3 linked regions of the Nothobranchius furzeri genome follow. The protein of the gene in region 2 interacts with the protein of the main gene of each other region in a biochemical or structural test. Links are inferred from orthologs where the notes say so. Each region holds a gene or a part of one and is shown on either strand. Other genes may lie near its edges. The genes, in order: eps15, tfap2a and BTB/POZ domain-containing protein kctd15.

Evidence for each region.
Region 1: the proteins of tfap2a (region 2) and eps15 form a complex in vitro, tested with the Homo sapiens proteins (2 studies listed by BioGRID). The link is inferred for Nothobranchius furzeri from reciprocal best matches to the Homo sapiens genes TFAP2A and EPS15.
Region 3: the proteins of tfap2a (region 2) and BTB/POZ domain-containing protein kctd15 form a complex in vitro, tested with the Homo sapiens proteins (2 studies listed by BioGRID, with this or other methods). The link is inferred for Nothobranchius furzeri from reciprocal best matches to the Homo sapiens genes TFAP2A and KCTD15.

Annotation. Positions count from the first base shown.
Region 1 is NC_091748.1:56,877,031-56,880,683, forward strand, and holds part of eps15 (epidermal growth factor receptor substrate 15), read right to left. Parts: intron 2,152-3,653; coding exon 2,079-2,151; intron 1,466-2,078; coding exon 1,304-1,465; intron 1,210-1,303; coding exon 1,012-1,209; intron 786-1,011; coding exon 414-785; intron 240-413; coding exon 153-239; intron 27-152; coding exon 1-26. UniProt on the Homo sapiens protein: Involved in cell growth regulation. May be involved in the regulation of mitogenic signals and control of cell proliferation. Involved in the internalization of ligand-inducible receptors of the receptor tyrosine kinase (RTK) type, in particular EGFR.
Region 2 is NC_091747.1:57,671,870-57,675,522, reverse strand, and holds part of tfap2a (transcription factor AP-2-alpha), read right to left. Parts: intron 3,008-3,653; coding exon 2,956-3,007; intron 1,705-2,955; coding exon 1,479-1,704; intron 884-1,478; coding exon 765-883; intron 1-764.
Region 3 is NC_091749.1:70,105,651-70,109,303, reverse strand, and holds part of BTB/POZ domain-containing protein kctd15, read right to left. Parts: intron 215-3,653; coding exon 1-214. UniProt on the Homo sapiens protein: During embryonic development, it is involved in neural crest formation. Inhibits AP2 transcriptional activity by interaction with its activation domain.

The sequences.
Region 1 (3,653 bases), on a different chromosome or scaffold from region 2:
TTGCTCTCTGGCTCTGGGGACTCCACCTGTAGGGAGGTGACATGGTGCTGACTAGAATCTTCACAGTTACAGTTTATACATGTTTTATGAATCCTGTCTTGAATAATCAACTTCAGCGTCTGGGTTGAAGATAGAAGTGTGAATAATCTGACCTTTAGCGGGCTGCCTTTAGGTGAATCATCATCATCTTCGTCGTTGATCTCTGAAGAACCATCAGGTGCAAAGCTGCCGTTTCCCTGCTGATTTTAATGCAGCAACAATGTTAAATTGTCTCAGGTGAGAAAGAGTTTAATTAAATCTGCAGGAAAAATTTTGAAAATCAACAACAGAAATGTCTGTTTGCTGAACTTTAGGAGTTTACCTGATTTTATAGGCGTTTCAGTGAATGTAATGAATTCTTAGTTTGTAATTACCCCAACAGCGCCCTCTTGTGGCTTAGACAGACAGTTGTACAAATCGCAGGAAGCAAAACTATTGTAGAGATGATCCAGGGCATCGGGTTTCAGCTTTTCTTCCTCCACAGTCTTTGGATTCTCTTCTTCTTTCTTCTCTTCTCCTTCTTTCTCCTTCTTGTCTGAGTGTTTTTTCTGCTGACTGCAGGCAGCAGCTGGCTCCTCCTCCTTCAGCTTCTTCGGCTGGTCCTCGTGGAAGAGGTCCGGTTCTGCTGTGGAGCCTGGTGAGCCATTCACCATGACTGGAGAGCTGTCCTCCAGAGCCCTCTTCCAGCTCAGCTGTGCAGTCACGGACCTCTCCTCCACCTGAAGGTCTTGGACTTTCTGCTGAACCTAAAAATAACCAAGAGAAAAAGGAAAAAAAAAAGAGGTGATTTAATGTGTATTTTATTTAACCTCTGGCAATAAAAAAGTTCCATCTCTACAGAATCAGATTTATAATAATTATAAAGAAAACTAGAAAATGTAGAGATCAGATGAGTTGTTTTTCAGTCAGACGGCCCAGCTGGTCTTAGGTTGAGACCGCCGACACCGAAGAAATCACGTTTGAGTTCCTGACCTGCGAAACTTGTGTAAAGGAGTCACGGACGGACTCATGGAGTGGCGTGAGTTGCTCCTGAGCAGCCTGAACCTTCTCCTGCAGTTTCCTGCTCTCCTCCTGCAGAGCCAGAAGCTCCTCTCGCGCCTGGACGAGCTCCTCCTCGTACTGACTTATCCTGTGTTCCTGCTCCTCGTGCTTCGACTGCAACGACGAGATCTGGAACAACAAAAATCAGTTCTGACTTATTTATAAAATAGTCTAAAATCTCCCCGGTTTAGTAGGCAATAGGTGACAATAACTAAAACCCTACAAGGTTGGTCTCTTGGCTAGTTTGCTGTCTGATGTGGCTGAGCTGCTCCTCCAGCGAGCTCTTCTGCTGATCCAGCTCGTCCAAAGCGTCCTGGACCTTCTGACGCTGAGCCTGGAGTCGCTGGAGCTCCTCGCTCTCCTTCGCCACCTCATCCTGAAGGTCCTTCAGACAAAAACACAGAACAAGATTTAAAAGAATAAATAATAAGTATGCAGAGAGATTTTTTTTTAACAAGCAGACCAAAACAGAACAAGATTGAACACACACGTCTTTGTTTCATTATTTATACTATTTTAATGCCTCATCGTGCATGGCAAGTGTCGGTTTTACACTTGACTATGTGAAGCATCTGTGGATCATCTCTGACTAGGGCATACGTGACTATATGAAGTGAATGAGAGCTGGAGGGGTTGGGCCGCATCAGTATCAGACCTCCCATCCTTCCTCACATCCAGACTGGAACCTCAAAAGCAGAGCAGCTCCTAAAATAGAGGCGATCAGCCTCTGTGGAAACAGACACGCCCACAGGAGGAAAGCAACCTGAGCCATGTTAACTACATTTCAGAGCAGCATCCCAGACTGTAGACTGACAGCATCATTAACCTCCTCCATCATCTCCATTTTGGTTAAAGTAAACAACAGCTTTAACACATACGTATATCTCTGGAATAGTTTTAATTTGTCTTGCTTCGTACACACGTTAAGCTCAAGCTTTGGCCAGACAACCAACCCCAACCACAAATTTTATCTGCAGCAACAGAAAATGTAACCTTACCTGCACTTCGCTGCTGCGTTGTCGAATGGCCTCCTCGTTTTCCTTGATCTCCTCTTCCACAGAGCTCTTCTCTCTGGGGGTCCAGCACAGCAAACAAAAGTATTCAGCCATGTTGGACAGACAGGTTGGACCCGGAAATCCCACCCCACCCAGCCACAGCCAGGTGTCTGCTGCTTCACCCCTTCTGTCAAACACCGTCACCTCCCGTCCCTCAAACACCATGATCCTGCCCCCAAAAATCACACCTTCCCAAATCAAGGAGCTGCTTCAAAATCAATGGCAGTGGTGTGGAAATGTTTAAAATGTAGAATAAAAACGAGGTATATGTAAGACTTCTGTGATGCACTGCTGTTGGCTCGATGAGGGTTGGGAAGACGGTGTGTGCCTGTGCAGAAAGATGTGCGGGGTATCAGAAGCGAGAAACAGATGGAGGCATGGGGATGGAGAGAGCGAGAGAGAGAGAGAGCGAGAGAGAGAGGGAGAGATGAGTCATGAAGAGCGAACTAGAAACATCCATCATGTGTGCAACCCTACCCGCTCTTCCTCTTACCCTCACCGCTTCACACAGCAAGAGATTTTATCCAGTCCTACTTTTGAAACCCTGAAATGACTGGGCTGTGAGTTTTCCCCTTGATGAGTGAGAAAAATAAAAACAATATTAAAATAAAGGCAAAGGAGGTGTTTTATTTCCTGTATCCGCATGTTTGCTGAAGCTGGTACGTTTTAGGTTAGTAAAATTGTTAAAAATGCAAAAGGTAAAAAAATAAAATAACAGAACGGTGTGAACCGATATTCTGGACAAAGGCAAAGCTCTCGTTTCTGCCTCACTTCCAGTCGCTTCGTTTAAAAATACCTCAAACGGATCAGCAGCTATTCTCTGCTTCCACATCAGTACAGGGTAAAAATAAAAGTGTCAAACCCACTCTCTCCTTTTATATTCTCACCCTCACCACACATCAGGATGTATAATTCATCAGATAATATTTCAGAAGGAACTCTAGAGTCTGCTCTCGTCTGATCTTAGCTATAATTACGGTGACTAACGTCCTTATTTGGGGCAAACGGCTGCTGCCAAAATTTGAAGCAGCTGCAAACACGTATCATCCTCTTATTTTTCTGATTTTGATCCGACACCGGCCTTCGTTTCTAGCCTCATCATACAGTGTGTGTGTGTGTGTGTGTGTGTGTGTGTGTGTGTTTGGGCTGGAATACCATTTTTCACTCCTCACTTTCAGTTTTCATGAATGGAGAACCAAAACTGATCATCTTGAATAGTAAGTTGGTAACATGCTGACAACTACTAAGGCGACAGAGACAACAAGTCCATCTGCTGCTGAAAACTTATCCTGGCACTAAAGATGACGTGAAGCATTGAGGCATGGGAGGTCATGATGTGGTCATGCGGCATCAAACTTTCTCCAGTGTGAACGCTTCACAGCCCCAAAGAGACCCGCATGCGCAGAAGACGAGAAGTCACACTCAATGTAGCCGAAACCGGGAGCGGCGGAGTTGTGGCGTGAAAGTTTCATTGACGGTTTATCCACAGGATGCAGGATCAGGACCTGTTAATTCTTT
Region 2 (3,653 bases):
AGCCAAATGGATTTATCCAGGAAAAAAGCATCTCGTCTGCTCGCAATAATTGCCTAATTTATTCTTTAATAGGCCCAAAACATAGATCTCCATAGGTCAGCGCGACGCATTTGCATGCAATACAAATCTTCGATGGAAAAGTAGAAAGCATGGGGAGCCATTAAAGGAGGAAGTAAAAAAATAATAAAACAAGGGATAGAGAAGGGCGAGAAATCTACTATATTCAGACTTGTATTAATGCAGGGTGCAATCAATCGACTCCTCATCCATGAGGTGAAAGAGCTCGGCGGTGGCCAATAAACAAGCAGCACTCAATAATTAACTGGACTTCAACACAAATTAATCCGGAGGATAAACTAGGCCAGCCTGGAAGTGCGCTCCTGAAAGAGGAAGCCAATAACGCAGCAGAGCCACAACCAGCACCTCTCTCTCTCTCTCTCTCTCTCTCTCTCTCTCTCTCTCTCTCTCTCTCTCTCTCTCTCTCTCTCTCTCTCTCTCTCTCTCTCTCTCTCTCTCTCTCTCTCTCTCTCACACACACACACACACACACACACATACACACACTCACTCTCACACACATACACACTCTCACACACATACACATCCTTCATGCTTTATTACTTGCGAGGCAAAGTCGGTCCACATTACACGGATGAGCGCATATGCTGATTTCCAACACAGAGGGAAAAAAGAGAGGGAGGAAAAGAGAGAGAGAGAAGGGATATATTTTTTTTAAGTATAGGATTTACGGCACCACGACTTACCTTCCACTAGTGACGTCAACAAGGTGACGTTGGCTGCCTTGCGTCTCCCCGCAGGTAGATTTAAGCCGATTTTATCCAACTTCTCCCTCAAGGATCTCCCTCCGTTCTTGGACTTGGCCCTGAGACGCAAAAACAAAGAAGAAATTCATTCATATGCAGGAATTCATCTAAATTTGACAGAAATATGATGGAAAAACAAAATTACAGCCAGAGAATTGACAAAAAAAATATGGATGGCTTTCATATTGAAGTTGAGACGTTCAAATCTGCACATGAGCAATAAATACGATCAAAATAGAGCCGCAGCCTGATTACCAGCGGACTTATAGCACAAAGTGAATAAATAAAGTCCTAGTTAATAGGCTGAGCTATTACTGGCTGCGTGTCTGCAGCACTTCAGTCGGCATTTCACTGGAGACCAATGTTTTCATGTGTAATGCCTTCACTGGGTCTGCAGAGCTGCTTGAAACAGACTAGGCCTACATTAATTTGAAAGGGGGGAGGGGGGTGTTAATATGGAATTTAACAGACCCCTCCTGCTCTAAATGCAGGAGCTAGGTGTCATGGTTGGTCGATTTTAATTATTCTTGATACAGAGGAGAGGAAAAAAGAGAGGGATGCGCGCTCACAGGCCGGAGGGAGAGCGCGTGCACGCAAACACAGGTGAAAGAAGATTTTTTTCTTTTTTTTTTTTTTTTGTGAAGTCAGACTCACCTCCTGAGCACCCCGCCCAGCAGAGAGGCGTTGAGGCACTCGGGCGGCGAGAGGCGTCTCTGCACCTCTGCCACCGTGACCTTGTACTTTGATGTGGAACTGAGGAGAGACAGGCGACCCGGAACCGAGCAGAACACCTCGTTTGGGTTAACCACCCCTCCGAAAAGACCGTCCTTATTTACGGGGATGGCGGAGACGCTGTTGTTCTTGGATAAAGACACCGGACCTATAGGACCGGGGGGAGGGAGGGGAGAGAGAGAGAGAGAGCGCGTGGTCAGTGAATTTCGTGCAATGCAGAGCCTTAAGTAAATGAAGAAGAACTTCTGCATCGATCACATAAATAATAATAACAATAACAACAATAACAATAACAACAACAATAATAACAATAATAATAATAATAATAAAATAAGTAATAATTTGGTGAGAACCAACAGCCTAAAAAAACATTTTTAAAAGCGCTCTTTTCAATAAAATCCACCTTTTTTGACTCATCGTCATTTTCCAGCAAAAACACCGTCGCCCGTGTGTGATTTCACACCGAGGTGGTGGGGGGTGGGGGTGGGGGGTTGTGAGGGAGGAGGGGAACGCGCAGTTGTGGCAGGCCGTTTTGGTGCGCAGTAACCGGAGACAAAGGGGGACTGTGCGCCTTTGGATAGATCACTTGTGACATTAATGGCTCAAGGGAGCCTAATAGAGACAATGGGAGCTAAACGAACTCTTGAGATTACTAATATAAGAAGCCAATTATCACGTGAATGTGCAGATGGGCTGAGTCTGAAAGAAAAAATTTAGAAATTTGGAAAAATTGCAGAAATTTTAGGAAAAAATAATATAGAAGAGAAGCAAAAATATATCCCAGGATCTTATTAATCTGAGCCTTTAAGAGTGTAAAAATCTAATCCATGGTAGATTTATTCATTAATAGATGAAAAAAAATTTAGTTCAAATTTCCCATTTTCGTATGCTCTCCTAAACGCTGCACAGAAATCCTGCACACACGCTCTGTCCAGCGGGTGACAGCTTCCATTTTACATTTATCCATGCTGCGTAATTGCGCATATTGCTTCCTAAAAAGTGTGCCCGGGTCGTCTCTGCGCGTCTTTGACCATCTATAGCTGAGGCCTCCAAAGCCCCAGCAGCTCCACTCATCTCCCTGCTGCGCCGAAACGCTGACAGTAAATTCCATCATCGGGGAGGAGAAGGAGGGAAAAAAGAGAAAAAGAAAAAGGTGCAGCCAGTTTGATGCACTTGGAAAGCATGTAATGAAAAATAGGCTGTGCTGCGTATTAGGATCAGTCAGGCATTACCACATTGCATCGAGCTCTTTGGAGCAGAATGGAAGTGTGTGTGTGTGTGTGTGTGTGTGTGTGTGTGTGTGTGTGTGTGTGTGTGTGTGTGTGTGTGTGTGTGTGTGTGTGTGTGTGAGAGAAGCTTGAAGAAAAAAATGCAAGATATCTCAGAGGAAATTGCTTACCTTTTTTAATTACAGTCTGGTCGGGAATGTGGATTCCTTGATCCTCAACAGGCTGTGACACAAATGCAAAAAAAGGTGCAATTTTAGCACGAATTACGCACAGAAACATGTGATTTTAAAGAGGTTGCACATGAACAAAGCGCTAAAGCAACAAGGAGCACAACCGAAAGGCCTTATTTATTTATTTACCTGCTGTTATAATTAATAAAGTATTATTATCCGAGTTTCCAGATCTGAACTAAGACTTAAATAAGGAAAGCACATCACCCCATAATCCTGACCTCCTTTTTGCAGATTGGCTCCCCTCACACGGAACTTCTCATCCAGATTGGTTAGTAATTACGGCGGTGCAGCCTATTAAAGGCCTATGAACTAATTAGAGAATTATAGCTGTTTGTTTCTGATTAAAAACTGGGGAGAAAATCTCAAAATGAGCGCGCGCGCTTGCGCTTATTGACGGACTCAGGGCTCATTCATTCATCAGGCGTCTTTAGCGATCGCAGAGGTCCCAAAACTCAATACAGCAAACTCAATTCTCTCGTTAGTGCGCTTTGCAAAGTGTCATGGTGTTATCGCTGTGCATGGAGAGGCTCAGCTTTTTGTTTCGGGGCCCTTAGAAATAAAAAAAATGTCTTTTAAAAAATCATTCTGGATAAGGAATTACGCATGGGTTTGTTTTACGTTCTGATGCAGTAAGA
Region 3 (3,653 bases), on a different chromosome or scaffold from region 2:
TGACATCTCCAGTCTCGGGGAAGATCTCCTCTATGAGGACCTTCTCGCCGCTCAGGGCGATCCTCTCGCCAAGGTCGGGCGTGACCCGGACCACCAAGCAGTCGCAGGGCTGCGCCATCCTCCGCTGCTCGCGCTCCTGCTTCCAGCGCTCCAGCTCCTTGATCATGGGCGTCAGCTGGTAGTAGCGGGCCTCCTCGTAGAGCAGGTGGAAGTCCTGAGCAGACGGCCGAGAGCGGAGAGGAGAGCGGTGAGTTAACAGGAACAAGCACCGGTTAGGTCTGAACTCTGGATAAAGCATCTCAGGACTGTTTTGTCACTCCTCCACCAGTGGCCCTCTGTCGTTTGACCTTTCTACAGGAGTGAGAAAGCAGTTGGGCAGCACAGGTATGCATGGAGGAGCTAATAACTGACTGCAGTCATGGATCAGTGAACTACGACATCCTTTTGAAAGAATATCGTCCGATTTCCTTCTGTTAGAGAACCAAACCTTTGCTATAGGAGAGTATCATTACATCATGCGGTGATGTCAGCGGCGTCGGTGTTAAATGCGTATCTCAGCTGTTTGAATCGTGTTTCTGTGTAGAAGCTGGAGAGAGAGTCCTGAACACTCTGTTCAGAGAAAGAGCGAGGGACTGACAAGCTAACGGCTAGTCAGAGACCGAAGTGTGTGGCTGTGTCCAAAAACGTCCCAATCTTCATTCCAGCTTTCATTTCTCACTTATAGTGGGATTTGTCTTTAAAATGAATCAACCGGACAAGAAAATTCCCTCCGATGAATTTACCACGTGATTCTGTTCCTGTTTTAAGTTTCAAAGAGTTTTTAAATCTGCATGACTGATGCCGAGCTGGTTCCTCCTAATCCAAGTGACATCATGTTTCCCGTGTCTTCATGCACAACAAGCCCAATAGAGACGTTTTTATGCAAATCTAAAACAAATGAAAGCGATTTCTGTGAGTCTGTCGCCACCAAAAGCATCCAAACAGGTTAAAAACCACTAAAGTGTACCGTATTTTAACTGCGGTTCTGATTCATTTAGTGGTCTGGAGACATTTGTAAAGCTTTAAACGTGCATTTTTATTTAGCAATCATCTGTAAATCATCAGAAATGACATCTGGTCTTTTGTGCATATTTATGTATTTAGCAGACGCTTTTGTCCAAAGCGACTTACAGGTGATAATCAAGCCATCCGGCTGCCCTTGAGGCTAACAACAAACACCATTCAGTCAGTCAGGCAGCATAATCAATCACAGAGGGAAGCGAACACGGAGTGGGGACGGGTGCTGGGAGGGTCCTAGTTTAGAAGAGCCGAGTCTTCAGGAGTTTCTTGAAAATCAACATGGACTTTATTTAGACTTTGATTAAAGCAAAGAAATAAAAAGAGTAAAGTCAGTACAGCAGTAAAATCTTAAAGAGCAAGTCACCCCCAAATCAACTTTTTTCCTGATAAACTTTATAAATGTGTGTCTAATTGTGCTGCAGACACGTGTAGTCAGTAGTTTTGCACTTTAGTGCATTTTAGTTCATTTTCTGCCTAAAACGGTCAGTGTTGTGCCGTTGTCAGGTAAAAACTCTGCACTGCATTTAAATTTAAATGTCATCGCTATTGGCTAAGAGGTACCCTAGAAAGTTAGCTGGTACCATATGATGTCACAAAGTCGTTGTGAGCCTCTGTGTGTGTGTATTTGTCAGTGGCTCCGCCCTCTCGGTCTGCTAGGCAAAGCATTTGTTGCATTTTTCAAACAGGAAGTGGGAGTTGAGTTATACTCTGGTAGGGGGTGACTTGCTCTTTAATTTTTCTGACTAAATAATCCCATAACATGGAGGCTGCTGGAGATGAAAATGTTTACAAAATAACATCACATTAAGAATGCGGCTGATTTAAGATGGCAGCAACGTGAACTATGTTTCTCTAAACTGAGGCTGTTCAGGAATTATTTATAATTTTTGTTTTACACAAAAAACACTTAAAACGTCAAAAAGTTTCATTTTCTGATCATTTTTATTTAAATAAAAACAAATGCTAGTAAAATAAAGATAAGACCGCTCACAAAAGGACAAATAATAATAACAACAACAACAATAATGATAAGCTGTGAGGGCCAATGACCTGCAGGACAACACTCCCCATAAACGCCACGCCGCACCTCTCCTCCACCGTGGCTCTTCGCTCGGCTTTGCTAGCCTTTAGCATGTTTTAGCGAGCCGGCTCTCTGAGGGCCGTCGGTGGGGCTCCAGTGGAGTGGGATGGTGCATTCCTGTGTGCAGCAGATTGCCTGCCTCTCACTCCCGGGCAGGGCTTGCTGGGGGCCATTTGCCCCCGTACGCCTGCCTCTAATTTCCCACAAGACCAGATGGCACCATCATTCACCGCTACCACGGAAAACACAGAGAGGAGGGAGATATGTGCACGCGAACATGAGGACAATCATCAGAAAAGGAGTTTTTTTATGTATTCCTCATATGGGTGGGGGGTTGTGTTAATGAGGCTTGTGGCTCGATGTTAAGCTCCTATTAGAACGAGATCTAATTAAGTTACACCTAAACACTGCAAATCTTTTTGCTAAACAATCAGTAATTATTACAGCCGTGTTCTGATTAGTGTTTCACAAAGACAAAGAATGACAGCTTAATCCTCTGCGATTATAAACGGTCACTTTAACATATTTGTGGTGATTTAAATGTAGCCGAGCTCCTGGTTGTAGATTTTCTAAGCATAAAGAGAGAAGTTGGGATAAACTGGTCTCTGAATGTGTTTTTTAAAGGTGCAGTATGTAAGAATATAGTGAGAATTTCACAAAAGAGTCTAATGTTTCAGTCGTTTATGAAGGAAAGTTGCTGGATTGTCAGTTTTCTCCTTTCAAAACATAGGCAGGAGGGAAGTAACTAACGATGGGTACCGAATTCCATAGAACTGACTGAGCACCGATTCACGTCATTTGAAACGGCGCCTCATTTCGGTACCCGTCCTTCATAACGAGAACTTGCCTAGACAGCTGCGCATGCGCAAGAGCGTTATGTCGTCGGTCACTGCGAGCCAGTTGTAAACAGAGCAGCATGGTAGAAAGAACGCACGCTAAAGCTTGGGTCCACTTCACTAAATGTGATGGGTAACTGGGTGATGATGAAACCAGCGACAACGATCTAAGTGAGACATCCTCATCTTAATCTGCTCCGGTAGGTAAATAAAATGTTTAAGATAACGTTAGCTTGATATGTTAGCTTCCGTTTCGCTAATGATGCGTTCACTTTCTCCTCTGAACTCCGAATTTCCCACTGGAAGAACATGAACGCGCTCTAAAGTTTGGCTTCACTTTACTAAATGCGACGGGTGATTGGGTGAAGATGAAACCAGCGACAACGATCTAAGTGTGAGGCATCATCGTTTTAATCTGCTCCAGCAGCTAAATAAACTGTTTAAGATAACGTTAGCTTGATAAATTATTCCATTGCCACCATTGTTATCAGCTAATGGTGCGTTCACTTTCTCCTCGGAAATTCTAACTTCCCAGTAGGAAAAATCAAATGAAAAAAGACGGCAAAAGGAATGAAGATACGCAGTAAATTTAGTTCACAGTAAAGATGTTTGCTTCAGTTTAATCATCAGCTTATAAAACTACAAGGACGATGTTAAAATACAAACAGTTGTATGTT